Yarrowia lipolytica: one gene and its partner. The protein of the gene in region 2 purifies or fractionates together with the protein of the main gene of each other region. This does not show direct contact. Links are inferred from orthologs where the notes say so. Each region holds a gene or a part of one and is shown on either strand. Other genes may lie near its edges.

Region 1 (10,503 bases), on a different chromosome or scaffold from region 2:
CGTTGTGTGAGGTGAGAAAAAAGAGTTGATGGAGAAGGTAATCTGGAAGTTTGAGGGCGTAGAGGGGGCTATTTCGGGCGCGGGTTTCGGCTCCTCGGCGAGTTGGACCGATTGAGGCCGATCCCATGGTATTTTCCCCGGTTGCCAAGCCGCAAACACCCCTTTTATTGCACTGTACACATGGCAGTGGGCCCCCTAATTAGTCGGTCACAAATAGCGACCTGATACATGCATGTAGCCTAATTTGGCAACTGAAAATCATGCTTGGTCACGAACCAACGCTAGGAGAAGGATATGGAGCAGTTCCGGGGCGTGTTTGGGGCCGTCCGGTACCACTGAGAGCGGCGCGTAATCGCCTGGAAATCTCACATACACGTTAATCTCGTAATATCGCCACAAACGTGTGTCGCTCGGCTCTTGGCGCGTGGCTGGGTGCTCGGCGTCTAAAAATAGAGCTGCAGTTAGCGAGCAGGTCTTGGAAAAGTCTAAATTTTAATAATGCGTCCGATGTTAATTGATTTCTGAAAATGCACGTTGGCGGACCCGAGCCAGGAATAGAATGACGTGGGCTGTGGTGGATTTTGGAGATGGAGTTGTTGGGCGGTCACAGCAGCAGCAGATACCGCATCTGTCGGGTCTGTCGCTGCGATGACCCACCTGCGTCAGTCAGGCTGTCAACTGACCCGACCCTGCGGGAGGCTGAGGCGGGTATCTTCTCTGTCTGAGGGCAGTTATAGCCAGACAGGGTAGGTTGAAAGCAGATTGAGCAAGTCCAAAAATAGTGCTGTGCACGCCCTCTGCTCTCACGGTACGGTGGGAGAGAGTTTTGCTTATTTCGAGGCCGTGGTTAAAAATGGTTGTCTGAAGGGTGATATGGTGGGCTGAGTTTGATTTCTCGTTTTGAATCTGGTACGAAATAGTCACGGAACTCAGATCCGGCCCTCTGCGAAGGTCTGAGTCTGGTTGGAGAGCAATTGCGACCTGAAACGCCAATTGGGGGGGGTCCACAGACGACCGGCGCCATTTGTATCAGTCTTGGACCTTGGGACACTGTTAAGTCCGGCTCCAGTACAGTCTGTACTAGTGCTGGTAGTCTATAGGCCGTATAACGTGGACAGCAACTAGCTGTTTGGAGGTCCAACATATCTCTGGAGTTTGTGGCCAGCTGCAGGATGCCGTGTGCGACATGTGACTTGACGAATTCGGGCTCTTTGCGTCGAATCTGGAGTGTATTCAACGATACTGCTGTAAGCGGATACTGGTACCGTATGTACCGTTCTCGTACCAGTTCAAAGTGGGGAGAAAGACCCTAAACGAGGCCAACCCCAACCCATTCCACCATTGTCGCTGACGATGGTCAAGTCCCGCGATTTGGCCGACGAAGCCTTGCTCCACAGAGCCGATGCTATAACCCCCTATTTGCCTAACCTCCTTTCCGGTTCCGTCATTAGCGCCGTGGAAGCTAATCATTCACAATCCCATTGTTGTACAGTGTGTATGCACCATCTGACTGCCGATACAGGGCAATTAATTGGCTAGCGGCAATGGTGCGAAAAACTCGGAAAAAAACAAAGAAGAAAATAGAAAATCTACCATTGTGGGTAAGTAAAAGCAGTAGTTTCTACAGTGCAAATATCGACTGTATTGAGCGTTTGAGAACAGGTTTGAAGTGTGCACTTTTTTGTACAGTAGGTACTTGCACCAGAAATCTGTAGCTTATCAGATCATGAATCTCTTTCATACATCTCACTCACTCAACAGATTGAGCAGCTACAGTGTGTGCCGAGTAGCCATTGGTCCATGCTGTCGGTGTCGGTGCTACTTGTTTCGGAGTGTTTTTTTATATATATATTTACGCCCTTCGCCCCCCTCACGCCCAGATAATACCATTGTTGTGAGCTCGGGTAGCACAGTGAGTATTTTTCCACCGTATCCTAGCAACAGACTGTAATAGGCCCCATGATATCTTGTTTACAGGCCACTCTGTCTCCACCACCTCTCAACCACTCTTCTACACTTGCTCAACACTCACCTGGACACTACTTGTACCTAAGTAGCTAACACACACACACACACCAACGATACACGTGATCTTCTAGTTGAAGCTACAAGTAGTGCGCCTTATCGTGACCTTGTGTTTGTGTCTCCTCCCCGCACTCTGGACACCTTACACGGCCACAGACTCATATCATAGTCTTCTGATACCTAACCACACAAACTGCACCATACCCTTCGGAACCGCATCATTTCCGACACCCTTCGCTGATACCACCTAGATACCATTCGGATACCCCCCGGATACTACACAGATACCACCCGATACCACATAACACACACAACCCAATCAAACACCAACGTTGGTAGCCCTGTGCCCAATGGCACCTCTAAAAATCTTCAAGGCTGGGGAAGGACCCGCCAAACGAGGGCTTGTGTCGTGCTCTTATTACTCCACAGGAGATGTCATTTGCTCGTTTGAACCTGCCGTCAACGTCCCTCTCTCCGGACGACTTCTGGTAGGTGGAGACGCAGACGGAACTATCGAGGTGGAGCAGGAGGCACGTCTCGACCCCACTACAGGCGTTTGTGCCTTTTGTCTTGAAACATACCCCGCCAGAAACATCACCATTTGTCAGGACTGCAAGCTCATGTCCTATTGCTCGCAGAGGTGTCTCGAAGCGGACACCTTGCATTCTCCCGAATGTACAGATCTCTGTGGGCCCCAAAAACTGATCATGTCCGGATTCCTACGTGCTCTGTACCGGATTTTATGCATGGCAGAGCAGCCCCGTCCTCGCAACACTTACGCCCAGCTCACCCACCACACCACCGATACCTCCTGGCCTGCCATGGATACCCTTCGAATGGCAGCTGAAGCTCTGGTCTCCAGAAACGCCTCTCGCGGTCACCCGCTTGAACAGATTCTTGAGTACGCAGGTATGCTCTTCGTCAACCAATACACTCGATGTGACGATCTAGGGCGACAGGGAGGGTACATCTTCGATCCTACTCTTGCTCTGATCAACCACAGCTGTGTTCCCAACGCGTACTTGCTCTTTAGAGGCAGAAAGGTACATCTCGTGTGCTGGAAACCTATTAACGACGGCGACGAAGTGTTCCTATCGTACACCCGGTTCATGCACCCTACCCCGGAACGGCGTACTCTGTTGTATATGCATTTCCGCTTCTGGTGCGAGTGCCCAGGTTGTGTGTCGCAGGAGCTGGAGTACCCTTACAGTCACGTCGTGTGCACCCAGTGCGGGACTGGAGTCAACAGAGATCCGTTCACATTGCTGAATCCTCCTACTTTGGATCAATGTCTCAGGCACCTGATGGATGGTGTCACCGAGGCCATTTCTGTGCGGAACTCCGTCGATCTCTTGCCTTCGGCACGTTTGCTTGTCTGCGAATGTGAGAACAAGGTGTCTGGAGACGTCATCCAGGCCATGTTGACATTGATGACCCATTCGGTGGAGTATTTTGATAACGCCAACTTCAAAAAGGTCCTGGGCATGGTTCTTGCTCACGTTTGCACTCTTGAGGGTAATGCTAAGACGGAAAAGTGTCTGACAGTTGTCGAAGAAGTGACCCAATCCAAGTTGCTTACCATGCAACTATGTCTTCGATTGATGGTTCAGGCACAAGTTCTACCTATTGATTCTCATATCATGACCTTTTTGGTGACGCTAAGAAACCTACATCAACTTCAAGACGAAGCAGAGATCCCCGATTGGGAGCGACTGCCTCACTTGAAGTCCACCATTGCCGTAGCACTATTGGAGGCGTTGGTGGAGTTGCGGTACTGCAGAGTTCAGATGTCGTCATACAACCCCGTTGTTTCCATCAGCCTTTTTATGCTCGGCAACTACCTGCGAATTCTTGCCGGTGATATTGCTGAGTCCAGGGAGAACGACTTCCTTTCGGACGACGATTTGGAGTCCATTGTGAATCTCGCCTACGCCTTTTTTTCGTCTGCTCACGAGAATCTCAGCTTCACACATCCTGCAAGCCCCTACGTTGAGCAGACCATGATCTGTGGCGATCTTGTGAGAAAGGACCATGACAATCTGGAGCTTGACGCGAATCTCGTGGTCAGTAAGCATGGTCTTGACCACGACATGTCTGTTCTGTGCGGCTTCCTCTACGAATATCTTGCTCATGACGGGCTTCTTGCTGACGGATCTTTCCCCCAGTCCATCCATATTTTGGATGTGAGTCCTGAGGTGGAAATGATCAAGGGCAAACTGGAGTTTTGGTACCGCCCCATGTCTTCTCCTCCTGTTACTGTGTGATTAAAGCACATGAAGATGAAAGATATACATAGATATATAATAAAATACATAAGCTGGTTAGTAGACTAAACATCATTGAGGGCGACCGAAAGTGCGCCCTTGTGGTGGCCACTGTATTGTCTGATGATTTGCCCAGATGCCAATTCCCACAGCCGCACGTAATGGTCTGAGCTTGCGGTGACAAGGTATGCCGAGTCAGCACTGAATGCGCAATCCCACACCCATCGCTGGTGTCCTGTGAGAGTAGTTTCCAACGAGAATCCATTTTTGATGGACCAGATTCGGGCCGTGTTATCTGCGGAGCAGGTGGCCAGGTGCTTGACGTCTGGAGATAGCAGCACCTTGGTGATATACTTTGAGTGAGATCTGAATTTGGTAATGGGATGCAGAGAAGTCACGTCGCGGGTGTTGTGCATTTTCCACACGTAGCAGTTGCCCTTGTTATTTCCGGCCACCAACATTGATCCATCCGACGCCACAGACACTGATCGTACAGGCACGTCTTCTTCGGGGATCAGTTGGTGAGTGCATGTGTTTTCGCCGAGGTCCCAGATTCGAATGTTTCCCTCCTGGTCGCACGAGATGATTTCTCCTTGGTTGGGGTGGATCACCACATCGTTAACGGGGCATCTATGCTTGTAGTTTCTCTGGACTGTGGCGGTCCGCATATCCCAGACCTTGACTGTTCCATCTTCCGACGAAGTGACCATCCATTTGCCATCGTACTGGAATGCCAATGCCGTCACGTTGCCTGTGTGTCCCTCAAAGGTCATGACCGCCTTGGGGTTGTTACTTCGAATGTCGTACAGCCGCACTGTGTTGCCTCCTGCTGCTGCCAGATACCTCTTGTCTGGCGTGATTGCCAGTCTGTTGACCTGCGAATCAGGATGCTGGATGGTTCGCGAGCAGATTCCACTCAATGCCTCCCAGAACTTGATGGTGTTATCGTAACTCGACGAGCACAAAATCACAGACATGTCCGACTCGGCTGCCGCGGCCTGCTGCTGGGGTTGGACCTGGCCCTGGGGCTGCGCCGGTGGCTGCTGAGGCTGCGCGGATGCTTGATTTGTTTCCGAACCCATGGATTCAACCTGTTTCGTGCTGCTCGAGATATCACGGACTAAACGGCATATTGGGAGCGGCGAGATTAAGCTATGGTCACGTGAGGTGGACCTCTCTCTTCCCCCCCCCCCAGAAATCAGCCAAATCAGGACTACCCTAACCCTGATAAAAAATATGGAAATTCGAAGGTACTCATTTGAGATCGTCAATTGAGGAAAATTGGGTCTGTTTAGCGGCCAGAGCGATCCATTGGCTGAGTTTGCGGGTTTTTCCGTGGATTTTTTTCGTCTTTTTTTTTTGGCCTTGCGCGGTTCATGTATTAATATTGCCCTGCCTGACACACACGCCTGCAAGTACAGTAGCTACGCTACGTACACTTTAACACCGAGAGGAGGAGGTATGGGTGGCGAGGGGAACGCTCAATTGGTAAGAATTTCTCTCTACGTGCGCGCGCTCCGACATCCTGTCTGTCACGTGACTTTTCCCTCTTTTTTCTGTAGCTATTCTATTGCGCTAAGTATATATATATCACACTCACAGCCAAACTGCCGCCTTGGAATTTAGCTCTGTCGTGGTCCCAATTGCCAACCTTATCGCGGCGAAGACGCTGGAAGGTTCACAACCAATCTCGAAGGCTCCAGAAGAGTCGAGTGCGAATAGGCTCTGAGCAATACTTAAGGCGGGTGGTCAGCACTTTTTTTGCGGGCTCTTGTAACGCACGACATAGGTTACTACACCCATACATTTTCACAAGCGATACTATGGTGAAAGAAACAAAGCTCTACGACGACCTCGGGGTGTCTTCTGGCGCCAGCGAGGCGGACATCAAAAAGGCGTACCGAAAGGCTGCTCTCAAGTACCATCCTGACAAGCCCGGAGGAAATGAGGAGAAGTTCAAGCAGATTTCCGAGGCGTACGACATTCTGTCAGACAAGGAGAAGCGAGAGCTCTACGACCAGTATGGTCTAGAGGCTGCTCGAAAAGGAGGAGTTCCCATGCCCGAACCCGGCCAAGGAGGCGGGTTTCCGGGCGGAGGCGGGTTTCCCGGCGGCGCCGGAGGTTTCCCCGGAGGTGGCTTCTCTAGTGGAGGAGGCGGTGGTGGCCCTCAGACTTTCCACTTCTCTTCTGGTGGCGGTGGTCCGGGTGGCTTCGGTGGTTTCTCGTCTGGCGACGCCTTCAACATCTTCAACTCATTCGGACAGCAGGGCGGATTCGACGATGAGGGAGACGACTACGGAGGATTCGCCAACCTCTTTGGCGGACGTGCTGGCCGCCGTGCAGGAGGCATGGGTGGCGGCATGGGCGGTATGGGAGGCATGCCGCGCCAGAGGGCCCGATCGCCCGAGCGAACACAGGTGACAGTCAAGATGCCCGTGTCTTTGGAGGACCTGTGCACCGGTGCCACCAAGAAAATGAAGATCACCCGAAAGGGCCCCAGTGGCCAGCCCGAAGAGAAGGTGCTGACCGTCAACATCAAGCCCGGCTGGAAGGCAGGCACCAAGCTCACCTTTGCTGGCGAGGGAGACTCTCAGCCCAACGGTGGCCAGCAGGATGTGGTGTTTGTCATTGAGCAGAAGCCCAACCCCGTGTTTACTCGAGACGGTGATGATCTCAAAATGTCCATCAAGCTGTCTCTCAAGGAGGCTCTGTGTGGATTCACCAAGATCATTGAGACCCTGGAGGGCAAGAAGCTCAAGATTGAGCAGCGTCTGCCCATCAACCCCGGCCACATTATCACCTACCCCAACTATGGTATGCCCATTTCCAAGAAGCCTGGTGAGCGTGGTCAGTTGATCATCACCATCAAGGTGGACTTCCCCAGCTCGTTGACCGACGCCCAGCGAAAGGCCATTGAGGACAACTTTTAATAGACTAACTTATTGTACATAGAGTGCAAGAGCATTCACATGTAAGAATTAATAAATGATAGCATGATCATGGAGACAATTGTACGTGTGCATGAACAACTCATTACTGCAGCCTTAGTGCAACTCTAAGGATGATTTAGTTGGTGAGGTTTGGCGGGTGTAAAGAGGACATGGAGGTGTTTATAGGGATCAGGGGGAGGTTTGGAGGGTAGGAAAACATGTAGAATGTCTTTTAACGTCCAATTGAGCTGATGGGACTTCTGAGCGCCTTCATTTGGGGCTTCTGACGGCTCTGCTGAAGAAGTTGGTATTGTGCTGTCGACGACATTTTGAAGGCTTTTTAGCATAATTAGCAAACTAAATGTGCAATCGACGTGGGCAGATAAGCGGTGACGTTTGGAGGGCATTTTTCATGTACATGTACAATCACGTCGACGGCCCGTCAAGTGTTCAGAGGGATTATCGTCTTGTACGAGGCATGTGGGTTCTGGATGTGGGTTCTGGAACATTCTAGAATCTGTCGAGTTGAACGAATCTGTCGAGTTCAGCGAATCTGTCGAGTTCAGCGAATCTGTCGAATTCAACAGAAGAGCATTGTGACACAACTTCTTGCAAGCTGATGTGTGATTTGACGACGAGTGGCTGTTTGCATTGGTGTACTAGGGATGTTTGTACATTGTGCTTTACGGTACGAGTACGAGTAGTGTAGTTATGAGAACTTTTTTCATCGACTTTACATCTCCTACAGAACTGAGGTCAAGAAGATGGGTTGGTTAGAGTGGGAAATAGAGGTTCATCTTCAGGTGGTGGTCGTGGACGCATCTTCAGGTCGTAGAGACATCTTAACATCACGAAGATACAGTAGTTATTGCTGGTACGCACCTGTACCGATACTAGAAGCCTGTGCTCTGAGCTCGTCCAAGTGGGCTGTGAACATGCCTCCGGAGAGGGAGCTTGGGTGACAATTACTGTTACAGCCGAGCCAGTTGACCAAGTAGCCTCCGTACTTACCAACGTTGTCTCATTTGATCAGGGAGGCGACGCAGGTGTTGCGAATCCATCGGGTGTGCTCCTCGAGCGACAACGCTGGTCGGAAGCCATGTCGCCACAGCGCTTGAAGTTTTTCACATGGCTGAAGTTCTTCAGGCTGACGGTCAAGGGAAATGCCACGCTCATCCAGAGCTTGGAGCCACTCGGGGTCGATATCCGGGTAGCCCGATAGATGGTCAATCTGAGTACGTAAGTTGGATGGAACGAAGAAGCCTTTGACCAGCTTCTTGGCCCAGGTTGGTTGGCCATAACTTCTCTGTTGTTTACACTGCCATGCTCTCCGTGAAACCGCCTTCTGTTAACAGTTGGGTATTCAATCAGACGGTATTCAAGGGGTGTCACATCATCAACTGTACGCATACTCGCAGTCAACTTTCTCAACATGATTTTTTCGTCCACATACCACCTCTTGTCTCTGTAGGCCTCATACCGCGTGATGAGCCTAGCTTCAATACAGAACCAGAATCCATACAAATCTTAGCCATCTTCTACTGCCACTCTTCTTTAGTATTCACACTGACAATCTACCCTTCCACTCTTCAGTCCAAGCCACTTTGCACCTTTTTGTCGGAACCAAATAATAACATAATTTACATGCAGACACTAATCCTTGCTCTTCTTCTTCTTCTTCTTCTTCTCGCCCTCGTCGTCGGAGTCCTCGGCCTTTCGCTTCTTCTCCTTCTTCTCCTTCTTTTCCTTCTTTTCCTTCTTGTCCTTCTTGTCCTTCTTTTCCTTCTTCTTCTCCTTCTTGTCCTCCTCCTCATCGTCAGAGTCGGCGGCCATGGAGACATCAGCCTCGACCTCCTTCTTGGGGGCCTCGACAGCAATGGTCTCGGTCACAGAAGCGACAACGGGCTTGGTGACGGGCTCGTCCTCAGTGTGGTCCACGTAGCTCTTCTTCCAATCGGCAGGAGTGCTCTCGTTGGGTCGACCGTACTTGTCGAGCTTACCGTCGGCCTTGAGCTTCTTCTTCTCGGTAGCAACGGGTCCCAATCCCCATCGTCGGGGGTAGGTGTCTCGCTCCATGATGCATCGCTTGATTCGAGACACGACACCGTGGTCGCAGGAAGCAAGGTCGACGGTGGTCATCTGGGCAATACCAAGAGCAATGGCCTCACCCTTGGTGGTGATGAGCACAATCTCGTCCTCCAGCTCAATGCCCTCCTCGTATCGGAGAACACCGGGAAGCATGAGCTTGGCGCCGTAACAGATGGAGTTGACGGCGGAGTCCTTGACTACAATTCGCTTGTAGCCGAGCAGCAGAGACTCAAGGGGTCGGATGCATCGTCGCAGGTACGACTCGTCCTTGGTGTTGTCGTAGAGCCACTGGGCATCGAGAATGTCGTGCAAGGTGACCATTCCGTCGGACTCGTCGAGAGCACCGGATCGCACTCGTCGCAGCTCCTGCATGTGGCCTCCAACACCGAGCAGCATACCCAGATGCACACACAGGGTTCGCATGTAGGTACCGGCCTCACAGGAGGCCCAGAAGACACCGAGGTGTCGGTCGTTGTCAAACTCAAGCAGCTTGGAGTCGTAGATGGTTCGGACTCGCAGCTGTCGCTTGACGGCGGAAATGAGAGGAGGTCGCTGGAACAGGGCTCCAGTGAGGTTCTCGAGGCCACGGGCCATCTCCTTCTCGTCCTCAAGAGCATCGTGGAGTCGCACGATACACACGTACTCCTTTCCGGCTCCCTGCTGGGACTTGACCAGACGGGTGGCTCGGTCGATGCACACAATCAGACATCCAGTAACCTTGGGATCCAGAGTACCAGAGTGACCGGTCTTCTCGCATCGCAGGATTCGCTTGATCCAGGCAACAACCTCATGGGAAGAGGGGTTGGAGGGCTTGTCGAGGTTGATGACACCGGAAGCAATGTACGACTTGAGGTCTCGCTTCAGAGGAGAACATCCGGTGGGGATGGGGGTGTAGTGACCGGACCGCACAAGCAGCTTGTCGTAGTTCTTGAGCAAAAGGGGCCACTCAGAGGTGTCGGCCGAGGGGCCAACATTCTCGGGCTTGATGAGATAGTCGGTTTGTTCCTGAACAACAGCAGACATGTCGATAGTGTTGCTAGGTCGATATGTAGGAGAAGCTCTCAATGTGAGTTTCAATTTTTTTTTCACTGCGCAGAATTTTTGTACTTTGGGTTTGGATTAGGGGAGCGGCCAGGATTGGGACGAGTCCTTCTGCATTAGGGTATGGGGTTAGGGTGGCGGTTAGGGTACCGGGG
Region 2 (12,697 bases):
CCTTCACCGAGTTTCTCATTTTCATCCTACCGCTGCTTCAGTTGCCCAAACTCAAGCGGCGAATCGAACGCAAGCTGCAGAGTCTCAATGTGACTCGTGTGGGTAACGTGGAGGAGGCTTCTGAGGGCGAGCTGGCCCATCTGCCTCAGAAGACCTGTGCTATTTGTTTCAGGGACGAAGAGGAGCAGGAAGGAGGCGGAGGAGCGTCGCATTACTCGACAGATGTCACAAACCCCTACCAGGCAGACTGCGGACACGTGTACTGCTACGTGTGTCTAGTGACCAAGCTGGCCCAAGGGGACGGAGATGGATGGAACTGCTACCGATGCGCCAAGCAAGTGCAGAAGATGAAGCCCTGGGTGGATGTGGACGAGGCCGCTGTGGTTGGAGCAGCAGAGATGCACGAGAAGGTTGACGTTATTGAGCATGCTGAGGACAATGAACAAGAGGAGGAGGAGTTTGATGATGATGACGAGGACAGCAACTTTCAGCTTATGAAAGATTAAGTAGAGAGGGAGAAATGCATTGTATATTGTACACAAAGTGGTAAGTCCGCTGAATGGTATGTATAACACTTGTAGTCAGCCCTGCCTTGAAAGCTATCTAAGGTGAGTACTGTGTAAGTAGAAGTCCAAGTAATAATATTCTATTTTAAGGATCTGGGGGCCAGAAGTGCTTATGAAGTTGTCGTTAATGAATGTATTATGCAGATATTTTTTTTGAGTACGTACAAGACCGTTGGAATCGTCTCGTTTCGAAACATACAATCATATACTTCCACGTCTTCTATGATTCTATGACAACTTCTGCTCAAACTCTTGGACTCGAGTCTGTACAACTGATGTTTAGTCCACAATGAGAGATGTCTAGTTCCTTATTTTGATGACATATCGTTCATTTATTCGTAAGTAATGTTGTATTAATGCTATACTAGAATGCTATCGTCCTCCGCTAACCCACCAGCGCAGCCTGGTTCTGGTACATTTCGACAATCTGGTCACTGCTGGTGGCATCATGAATACCCTTGTCGTCTCTCACTCGAATGAAACGAGGGAACCGAAGTGAAATACCTCGGTCCATCTGGTCAATGCCAGCTTTGTAAACCGGAGACAGAGACAAGTCGGCCGCCAGAATCTCAATCACAGTAGAAGGATCAAACCACACGTCTGGCAAGTTAGCAGGCGTGGAGTCGTACGAAACATCACTGTGGGGGGTCTCGATCACCGTGGGTTTTAGTTTATCGTACATCTTCTGCAGCATTTCTTCCGAGAAGCCCGTGGCTGTCTTGCAGACTGTCTCGAACTCCTCCGAGTCCTGATTATACACACCCAACAAGAATGCTCCATACCACTGAGACCGTTTGCCCTTGCCAAAGTATCCTCCGAGAATAACAAGGTCCAGAGAGTCGCCAATTCCGTCAATGTAGTCCTTCTTGACCTTGAGCCAGTTTCGCGACCGCTTGGACGGCTCATATCCAGACTCCTTACCCTCCAGAAGCTTCACCATCAGTCCCTCGCACGAGTCCTTGATGGACTGGTCCAGGAATGTCTGAATCTCCTCAACATTGGACGTGTCCATCGACTTGGCAAACAGAAACTCGCCCGGCACCTCAGTGAAGGCCTCCTTGAGTTTCTGACGTCGTTCGGCAAGAGGTAGGGTCAAAAGAGACTCGCCATTGAGGTACAGAATGTCGAATGCGAATATACACACTCTGACAGTAATTTCTTCCTCGTTCACGTTCTTCCGCTTTCGAGTTGACAGAACCTGGAACGGCAGGATTTTGTTTTGCTTTCTATCCCAGGCAACTGCCTCGCAATCGAGAATGAAGGATTTGGCCTCTCCGGCAAACTTGGGAATGATGGAAACCAAGTCAGGGTAACGGACAGTCATATCTTCCGAGTTTCGAGAATACACAAACATTTCCCCGGACTCGGTTTTATGGATCTGAGCTCGTTCTCCGTCGTATTTGTACTCGCAAGTGAATTCTGTGTCTTGGAAGCGATCCAGGACCTCTGAGATAGACTTGGTGGGTTTGGCCAACATAGGCTTGAGAGGAACACCAGTGGAAATCTTGCAAGTTTCAGAAAGGCGCATGATTCCGTTTTCCAGAATGGCGTCGATGATGAGCGCGTAGTTGGGCAGCTGGCAGAACACATCTCGAATCATTTCTTCTCCTGCAGTGATATCATCCGGGTTCACCTTCTTGCCTTTGTTCTCAGCTTCAAAGGTGACAAAGGCTTGAGAAAGCGACACCAGCACCGACTTCTCAGCCAGTCCAATACGCAATTTGCCCTCCAGGCTTCGAATGATAAACTTGGCCTCGTTTCCCTGACAGGCCCCCATCATTCGTTTGATCATGTTGATTTTGGCGTTCTGAGAATCTTTACCTGTTGTCTGGGCGATTTCTCGAAAGGTATCAAAAACGTTGGCAGCCTTGAGAGGTTCGGGCTTAAACATGGCTCGCTGGTTGCTCTTGGACGACTGGGCCACCTTGCCCAGATCACCGAGTTTCTGGTACTCGGTCTTGACGTAGGCAGGCGTTCGTCCGGTACTTTCGGCAATGGATTTCATCAGAAGCGACTCTCCGAGGCCCAATTCGAGACCCTCGTAGTCGGGACCAAGTCGGTTGATGCATAGGTAGACCACAGTGGCCATCATCTGAGGATGGCTCTTGAGAACCGACAAAAACAGAGCGGCACAATGGGCCGTGATTTCCAGCCGTTTAGTAGTCGCTTCGATCTTTTCAAATGTGTCCACAATGGTTCGGTACAGCAACGGGCCATGGGTATGTCCCGATCCTTCCTCAGCTAGTTTCTTGGCTGTTTCAGCACAGACGGTTTTGGTAGACGGTAACGAACTTGTCGATGTAGAAGACTTGAGGAATTGTTTCGAGGCTGACAACTCCTTGTTTGACGACTTTGGTGATTGCTTCTTAGGCGACTTTGGCGACTGCTTGCTGGATGTCTCGGGCTCAGGAGATTTGGTGGTCTTCGTCTCAATCTTCACTTTAGCCACCTTCTTATCCTCCACCTCCTCCGAAGCCTTTCTCTTAGTGCCGAAAAAACTGCGTTAACAATGTGATCCAACCTCGGTCCATCGCTTCGCATACTCACTTTAACGTCTGCTGCTTGGCCATGTTGAATACTACTCGACGCGTTGTCGGGGTGCGAAAAGAGAGAAACATGACGCGACGCGGTTTAATTGTATTTAGCTGCATGGCGTCTGGAGGTGTAAGTGGTAGGGTTAGGGAAGACCATCTGATAGATGGGTGGCGACGGAATCGCTTCCAAGGTAATTGGGAGAGCACGGGTGGGAAAAAAGTCACGTGAAGTGAACAACAGCTCAATGACATTGGTTTTTTAGTGTGTTTCCTGGTTGTTATGGCAGTTGTTTGACTTTTTAGAAAATAATGTGAAGAGCCTCTAACATTAGCTTGCTGGAAAGACAGCTAAGTAAGCTTAATCTTTTTGGAGTAATTATTAAGTAATAGTTCAAGTATTTCTAGTACGGTTTATGGCATGACTATGAATTTTCCAGGATAATATAACAGAAGTATTTTTTATCTTATAGTATTAACAGTATATGCTCTAGCGATGTGATTTCGTCACTCCTACGTTTCTGCGACACCTCGCAGAGAGTTGGCCCTAGTTGGCCAATACGGTGTTGGCAGTTTCTCAACTAAAGCTACTGAATTTGTTGGCGGAGAACCTTGGGCCAGGATGAAGATGGCCTTAGAGACACAGAGGTGGCGATGACATATAAGAATGTGTTGTAAATCATATGGATAGTTTGAGATACTCATATGATTAGTCTACGAGTACTTGTACTTGTATGGCGGGTTTCGAGCAAGTCTCCTTTGTTTCATCATCTTCTGTCTCTCTGTTGTGCAGTCTGAACTGAAGAGTTATAGCACCAAAACATCTCAATGCGAACAGGCACTTTTCTCAGGAACCACACAGGAATCGACCGAAACAAATATTGATTTTTTCTTCATGAACAATACTTCAACAATCAGCGGTCAGTCACTTCATCAGTACAGTACAAGTACCAGTTCTTGTATGTCTACATCTACTGTACACTCTCGCAAAGCTCGCGGTTAGAATGTAGTTGGTTCTTGATGCGATAAATATTATAAATAATGCAAATCTAATCCCTCTGGCTTCGTCTCTTTCTTTCTCTCTGCCGTCGGGCGTTCCTCTCCAGCATCTTCGGGGTGTTAAATAGCTCAAAGATAAATCGCCGCTGAGGAAGCCGATACCGATAAATCTCCAGCAGCTCTACCACCTCCAGAAACAGCGTAAGCGAGTCGAACCGGTCGTGGTACTTCGCGTCCAGCTTGATGAGTGTGCGCGATGCATCGTTGGCCAGAATATGATTACTCAGATTCGACAGCGCCGTCATGATTTTACGTCGGATCGGATCGGACGAAATCTTAGGCAACTCCAGAATGGGAGGCACTGTCTGTGACGTACGAACAACAGTAGATTTCTCCGTAAACAGCCCATCCCACTCATATGGCAAGGCATAGCCCCTGGGATTGCCATAAACGTCAAGCGTGCTGTTCCACCCACACTCGTCGATGATCTCAGAACCGAGGTTCGTAGTACCCATCAAACCAAGCACGTAGAAAGCGGTGCCCTTGAGAGACCACACTGGCGAATGCTTTGCAATGTTAGCCACATCCACTGCGACTCCCGACTGATCCAGGAACGGCGCTCCAAGTTCCGTAGCCCCTACATGGCCAACAGCCCACAAGCAACCCTTAAGCTTGAGCACTGTGTCTCTGTCTTGGGCAGTAAGGCCGTGTTCACGAATGAAATCGGCAAACTCTGTAAAGTGGCCACGCTTCTGCAACAGTTGACAGCCCTCTTCTGTCATGGCCAGCTCGCCGTAGAAATGAGGAGGAGGAGATGCCAGAGCATCGTCCTTGGCGTCCTTCTCTTGTAGATCGAGAACAGTGCCAAATGAGGGGACCATGCACTGCTCAAGATAGTACTCGATTCGACCCACATAGGCCTCATTCTGACCGTGGAACCAGCTGTCCATCTCCAGAGCAACGAAATCCATCTTTTGCAGATATTGGAAACCTGAAGAGGTGCACAGAAATCGCAAGAGCAGAGGAGCTCCAACAGCACCCAGATGATCAAGAGCAGGCCGACATTTGACCACATGTGGCACATTTTCAGTCACAGAGCAATACTCTTGCAAAAGTTGAACAGCAAGCTTGCACACCTCCACATCTGGATCATAAAGCTGGCCCACAAGAAGAGATATGGCCCAGTGGGGACTAGATTGAGGCTGAGTGTAGCCTCCCACATGCAATAGAGATCCCAGACGTTTGGTGGCAAACAGTCTGACGGGAGAAGGACCTGTAGTGAGAGCCTTAGAGAGGATGATCCGGGTATGGTTCGGAATTGTGTAATCTAGCGAACCAATGATCAGAATGAGGAGATCCTGACGTTCATGCACGTCTGTCAAGTGATACAGCATGTTGAACATTCTCCATCGCTCCATCATAGCCAGACCGTTCTTGTCTTGAGAAAGGGTCCCCAACAGCTCAAAGTAGCCGTAGGAAAGTGTGGATTCGAGTCTCTGGGCGGAGAAGAGAGGCTCCAGAGAAATAATTCCGCTCATGGGATCCAATTGAGCCAGACACTCGCCCATTTGCCGTAGTAACTTGTTTTCAGTCAAGTAGTCAACTCCCTCCTGGGTGGCTAACAACGTTTTAAGCAGAGCACAACCGGTCTCCACGTACTTCCGGTTGTATTTGGTCCTTTTGATAGCCGAAAACCGGTACTTGAATGGTCTGTAGAACGACATAAGTCGTTTTGCAAACTTTGAAAAGTGCTTGATAGTGACTTCTTCCAGCCGCTTTGGGTTCAGCAGTGGGCCCTCAATCAACTCCAACAGTACGTTCCAGTTCCATTTGGTGTAGTTTTTTGTCTGCAGCACTCTTGTGTCTGTGATGAGCTGCCGGAAGTGAGCATCATCAATCTGCACACCCATCTGCACCTTGACGGTAGTGGACGAGTTGAGCGCCGCGGTTTTATGCTGGTTACGCGAAATGGCATCAATGCGATGAATGGCACAAATGGCGTTTGCAGCAGCAGCGTTGGGTCCCGAAGACGACTGGACCTGGGCTGAAATAACCAGTGTTTCTAGTCGTTCGATCTCGCTCAAGAGCTCACGTGGGAGCACTTCTCCAGCCAGTTTGTGAAGCTCAGACACTAGAAGGAGAGCCTTTCGAGTACTGGTTTCGTCTTCCTTGGTGGTAATAACCTGCTGGAGCTCCCTGAGAAGCCCCTCCTTGAAGAAGACGGTCAGAAGTAACGCGAGAAAGTGGTTAATGTACCGTGGGCGCCTCCGGTTGTTAGCCTTGGGTTCGATTTTGCCATGAGAAGTGAGCTTCTTGCCTGCCACAAAGCTATGAGACCAAAAGGGGGCTTCTAAGCGAAACAAATCAAACAGAAGCGACAAAACAATGTCTCGAAGAAGAGGCAGCGGCAGGGCCAAGCACTGGATCAAAGCTCGCACCAACGAACTTCCTTCTGAAGACATGAGACCTGCCCAGGACGACAAAACCACACCAATGACCATGCACGAGTTACGCAACGTCTCTGGATTCACGTGACCCTTCTGCTGCACCTCAGTGAGCACGGACACTAGAAACTCCAGATCCTTACCTCCTTGCAAGACGTGACGCGTGGTTGGTGAGTCAAGAGTATAGAGAAGAACTCTGGTAGCTAGAGCTGCAAGCTCAAACGGGCCCTCCACACACAGCGCCAGCAATGGGCGCACTCCTCCTGCTCTATGCACCAGATGTGAATCTAGAACCAGCAGCTCAGCCAATGTCTCTAAAGCCGCCACACGTAGCCTGTCATCAGTCTGTTCTGCAACAGCGACAATAGCTCGCACGACTCCAATGCTGATTTCTGCCACTCCCTGCGGCACGTCTGTGAATGCACGAATAAATTTGAGTGCCTGCAGCCGCTCAAAATGACACCTGTTGTCCCGTGCCAAACTGCGAATCACAAACAGATCTGTCTGAAACCCCCGGGCTGTCTTCAACGAGTAAATGTCCGTGAGAGCATGACGTGCCACTCTGTACCCTGCCGCCACCACCTCTGTGCGTTTGTGTAACAGCAGCCGCTGTATCCGGTCGCCCACATGCGACAAGACCAGATCGTACTTTTGCAGGGGGTATCTTGTGAAGACCCTCACCAGCTCGTTGCACTTGGTCACGAGGTCGTCGGCATTGACCGCCGGGTCGTCCAACGCCTGCACAATGTTGCTGATGAGCCACGACGGGCTCTCATTGTTGGTGTCGTCTGTATCCATGCCGTCTCCTCCTCCATTCATGTGGTTGTTGGTGTGAATGTGATTTTGCTGATGAATACCCCGTATCGGCACATCATGGCCGACCGGAACCTCGCGCAATTGTTCGTTCAAAAGCGCTATCCGAGCCACACTGGCATTGAGCTCACTCTCCACCCGCGACCGCATTCCCTCCCGAGTAGTGTCCGTCTTGGACTTCTCCTTCTTGTCCAGCACCTGCAGCATGTTTTCCGCGCCATCTTTGATTTTCGCCTCGATCTCCAGCTTGTCCAGCAGCTCCATCCGCCACTGCTTGTCCGTCAGATGTGGCGGCTTCATGTTGGCTGTTGGTCCGTCTAGCTGTGTGCGCGATACTGGAGCTGGAGCTATGGTTTAGGTGCGTAGTGGGTATGCAGGGTCACGTGAGAGGGAAAAGGAGGAGGGGCAGATTACTGGGCATTGGCGGAGCGATGGACGCTTGCAAAAACCTGGGGCTAATCCGGGGAGACTTGTTTGTTCATATTTGGGGCCTTTAAACAGGCACTTATCACCGCAACAACCATACAAGTGTTCTAACAGCTCTCTCCTCTTCATCATTATACATGTTTGGGGGAGGTGGGAATGATGACGCACATGACGTCAAAATAACATTGGGAGGATTGGGGATTGGGTGGTGCAGACTGTCTGTTTTGAGAGCATTTCAGAGAGATTTGACCTACGACAAAAATCGATTGTAACTGTAGAAAATGACGACAAAGGTTGCCAGAATGTATTTAATGGGCTAGCCAACCGTTAGTCACGTGATAATCCGTCAATTTCTGGTCTATTGATAGCACATTTAGCTGATCTGTGGTGCTCGCACTGTCCATCCATCCATGCCCATGTCCAAATTTAAATTCCTCAAACCAGCCCAAAAAGACGCCCCTTATTTTGCGACGTGTAAATCCGGGGTACAAGTACTGTAATTACGTTGTAAGCGTATGGCAGAATGTGTGAAGGACATTGAATCACGTGATAAATAACCGATGGTGACGCTTGGCTGAGTGTGTGGGCTCTTTAGTGACGACAGTAGCAAATTAAAACTCAAAGTATTTAGTTGACTTTATTCAAACCGATAGTTGATACAGATCACTTTATTAGTTAACACGATTACTGAAGACACTTGCATTATCCATGCACTCAAGTCATGGGGTGCGGGTTCAAGTTCCGTTCTGGGGCACGGCAGGATCCGATTGTGATTACACGGAGGCTCTGTGGCACAATGCAATCTGTCGTATACTGTGGCTACGTTCACGGATTTCAGAAAAAAACTTGTTAATTGTGGCTTTGGATCTCAGCCACGAATTGTCAATGTCAAGGTTGCATAGAATGAAGAAGGGAGATCGTGCCAAGTGATTGAGGGTAGTAGGGACCACAGTGGAAAAACAGAAACATTTCTAGTACTTGATTTATGAGTTTTTGATCCTTTTGGTCCCCTAGACAGCCAATTGCGTCAGTTGGTAGACTTCAGACTCCCGCTACAAGCACGGGTGTCTCACGAAGCTACTGGACTTTAGCATGTCAATAGACAATGTGTAACTTCCGGAGATCAGCTCTACAACCAAATGATGACACCTTGAGCCTCTAACTCGTCCACAGAACTTTTCCGATAAGACCTGGCTTCTCTAGCTATATATAATTGAAGACATGCACTTTAGTATGTATACGAGAGCCTTACTACCACGACCCACCATGTCAGAACTCGAAAAACAAGTCCCCGACTCATATTACAACGACTCGGAGATTCTTGCTACCATTGGATACAAGCCCGAGTTGAAACGCAACTTCTCCACTGTTCAAGTGTTTGGAATTGCGTTTTCACTCATGGGCCTGATCCCCTCCATAGCCTCAACCATCTCTTTCTCTCTCCAGGCTGGCCCATACGGAATGGTGTGGGGTTGGTTTACCTGTTCGGTATGCATCATGACAGTCGGACTGGCTCTAGCAGAACTCGGCTCCTCTCTACCAACTTCAGGAGGCCTATACTGGTGGTCGTACTATTTTGCTCCTGGGAAGGCAAAACGGCCCCTGAGCTTTCTCGCAGGCTACAGCAGCTTCCTGGGCCTCACTGGAGGCCTCATGTCCATTGATTATGGATTTGCTCAAATGCTGGTCAGTATGATCATTGTGGCTACAGACGGCCAGTGGAATCCAAGTGCCTACGTGCTTTACGGCATTTTTGCAGCCTGCGTAGTATCTCATGCTTGCGTGGGGTCCATGGGAACCAGACATATGGCTAGGCTACAGACCGTGTGTATCTATGGTAATGTCGCTATCGCTCTAGTTTTAATCATAGCACTTCCCATAGGCGCGCGAAACCATCTCAACTCCGCTTCTTACATGTTTGGACAAATTGAAAACACCACCGACGGATGGCCCACCGCCTGGGTCTTCTTTCTGGGCTGGCTAGCTCCCTCGTGGACCATTGGAGGATTCGACTCGTGTGTTCACATGTCAGAAGAGGCTTCAAATGCTACCAAGGCAGTGCCATTTGGAATCATTGCGTCTATCAGTGTAGGCTGGATTCTGGGGTTTGTTGTCGTCATTGTCCTGGTTGCAGTTATGCCCCACGATGTCAAGCCTCTTCTTGAGACAGTCTATCAGCAACCTTTTGCTCAATTGGTGTATGATACTCTGGGAAAGAAATGGACAATTGGAGTCATGACGGCCATCTTCATCCTACAATGGACTATGGGGTTGTCCAGTGTCACTTCTGCATCGAGACAAGCCTGGGCTTTTTCAAGAGACGGGGCTCTGCAATTCTCCGACTTCTTTAAAGTGGTCAACCAAAAGTACTCCAACCCAATCAGATGTGTCTGGGGCAGTGCCCTGTTGGCTCTGTGTATCGGATGTCTGTGTATGATCAACGCGGCGGCTGCTCAGGCGTTGTTTTCGCTGGCAGCAGGAGGAACTTCTTTGGGATGGCTGATTCCAATTTCTCTGAAGTTGCTGTATGGTAAGAACCGGTTCGTTCCAGGCCCCTTCTATCTCGGAAGATTTCCTTCCAAGCTGATTGGGGGCTTTGCCAGCGTCTTTCTGATGTTCAGTCTAGTACTGATCCAGTTCCCACAGACTACTGCCCATCCTACTAAGGATACAATGAATTACACCTGTGTCATTGTAGCTGTGGTCTGGGGAGGGTGTTTGATGTACTATTATCTGTTTGCTTACAGATGGTACACTGGTCCGAAAACGACGCTGGAGGGGGCAGTTGTTGAGTTTGAAGGAGTAGCAGACGAGCACACTGGAAAGTCTCGTACAAGTAGTAGTAGCGAGAAAGGGATTAGTATTTAACTATACTCCAAATATTAGTTGAATTAGATATTGTACTGTACTTGAAAAAACACAGACTCCAATGAAGGGGAACTACAATAGGGGGCTCCTCTTGACGTCTTAAACATGTATCATGGACGATCAAACGATCCTATTGTAAGCGCTTTGGTTATCTCTGTGCTTTATATAGCTCCCATACATCGCAATCACAACACTTTCTCTTCGGTGACATATCTAAAACAGGAACAGTTTAAGCTGAGAGGGAGTGTCTGTATCGTGTTGTACTTTAACAAGCGATACGTCATTTTTCCCTTTTTCTAAATCACGTCAAATACACACATTCTAAAGTCATCATCTACAGTACAGTTATACGTGCAACACGCCATCTCTCTACCAAATGGGTCGAAAACTCCACCCCGTCACGTGCCTCGATTTGGTACAATATCCTCTCCAAGAACGCGAGTTTCTTTTAGTCAGCAAATGCGACCGACAAGCCATGGGTATACAGAACCCACTCCACTTTCTGCTGAGATGGAAGGTGTTCCAAACGGCCTTTTTTGAAGCCCGAAGTAAGGGACACTCGTTCGTGTTACTTAAGCTACCTCATTCAACTTTGGTGTTCATTACTCAGCACTTTTACGACGCGGAGCCAGAGATGGACCACTCGGAAGCTGTTAATTTGATAACCTACTACGAGCATCATAAGATATTTGTGTTGCGTCAACTAGCAACTCAGTACCTCGATACGAACCCAATGGACATCCACCAGACAGTAGCCATGTGGCGGTTGGGCTTCAAGGAGAAGAGTGTACGTGCTAAGAACTACGCCTCCAGACACATGCGAGAGATACGAGATACTTCCGAAGAGCACGATGCCGCTCTTGGTGAAGCCATGTCTCATCTGGAGGCCCAAGAGTTGCGTTCCTTGGTGAATGAATTGTGGCTATCCTCTCCAATTGTGGATGACTAGAGGAGACAGGTACTGTACTTGTACTACACAGTATGTTGGTTGCTCAAAGATATTGGGATGGTACCTTGACCTCTTCACATCGTGGCTACTTGTAACAAATGAAGAAGTGGTGATCCTTTCAGCTACTGTAGCGAGAGATAAAACGGTAAACATGTGTATGGATCCAAATTATTGAAATGTATTTCTGCTACAATTGATGATACAAAAATTGAGGTGTTGGGGGTGGAATTTGTGGATTCAGGACGCTTTTCCAACCTTGCGTAGTTCTGTCACTAAAGTGAACTAAAAATACAACTACACACACTTCACCGGAGTTGCCCAAATTCAACATTCTTAATAATAGTAAATGTAAGACAAACATTTTTTGATAAATTATTTTAGTCTTTTTTTTTAAAAACAATTCTGTTGCCCAAATGGACTCTTTTACCAAGCAGTGAGGTTCTTAAAACGTCAGAATTTTGTTTTTTTCCGAAAAAAACCATCCAGCGGACTTGTGTTCTTAACAAAGTTCAACTATGAAGTCTATGGAGTTAGGTTACAGTAGCGCCAGTAGTTGTACTGTAGCTACAGTGCTAAGCATGACAAAAAACTAAAAAAATAAAATAAAAAATAAAGGGCGAAGAAGAAACTGAAGTTGGTAACAGAAATGTGATAGGATAGTCATTTCAGTCGGTCTACAATATCGGTACATACTGTACTGTACTTGTAGTTGGTTACTACAGAAGACATGAGCTGACAAAAGCCGCACCCAAAGATGATCTCATGAGAGAATCGTTCAGTTAGCACCATGAGTTCTGATACAGGTTCTCGCACTCGTACTCGTACCGTACCCATAATACATTGTTACAGTGAGGTATACTAGTAACTTCTTTGTCTCTTTCTATACCTTTCTCTCTCTTTCTCTCCCTCTCCCTCGTATCTTACCCTCTTCTCGTATTCCAGTAGCCGCAGCCAGAGAGGTTATTCGACGACTTTTTGGAGATAACTGGACACCTCAGAGAAGGCTGGAAAAGAGTAGCTAGAGGTCAATGGCTATTGCGTAGAAGATTTAGAACGTTTCCTTGACTGATATACGTGCAAATTACCACTCATTTGCCATCA

Evidence for each region.
Region 1: the proteins of YALI1_F01742g (region 2) and YALI1_E16501g purify together in Saccharomyces cerevisiae (affinity purification with western blotting; 4 studies listed by BioGRID, with this or other methods). This does not show direct contact. The link is inferred for Yarrowia lipolytica from reciprocal best matches to the Saccharomyces cerevisiae genes TSC11 and LST8.

Annotation. Positions count from the first base shown.
Region 1 is NC_090774.1:1,644,954-1,655,456, reverse strand, and holds YALI1_E16501g (uncharacterized protein), read right to left. Parts: upstream 5,372-10,503; coding exon 4,355-5,371; downstream 1-4,354. Other genes in the region: YALI1_E16544g (uncharacterized protein), read right to left, coding at 667-959, 1,009-1,024; YALI1_E16531g (uncharacterized protein), read left to right, coding at 2,376-4,289; YALI1_E16493g (uncharacterized protein), read left to right, coding at 6,113-7,219; YALI1_E16451g (uncharacterized protein), read right to left, coding at 8,873-10,330. UniProt on the Saccharomyces cerevisiae protein: Essential component of both TORC1 and TORC2. TORC1 regulates multiple cellular processes to control cell growth in response to environmental signals. Nutrient limitation and environmental stress signals cause inactivation of TORC1.
Region 2 is NC_090775.1:166,551-179,247, forward strand, and holds YALI1_F01742g (uncharacterized protein), read right to left. Parts: upstream 7,654-12,697; coding exon 4,147-7,653; downstream 1-4,146. Other genes in the region: YALI1_F01659g (uncharacterized protein), read left to right, coding at 1-506; YALI1_F01696g (uncharacterized protein), read right to left, coding at 952-3,064, 3,114-3,217; YALI1_F01755g (uncharacterized protein), read left to right, coding at 9,046-10,482, 11,363-11,596. UniProt on the Saccharomyces cerevisiae protein: Essential component of TORC2, which regulates cell cycle-dependent polarization of the actin-cytoskeleton and cell wall integrity.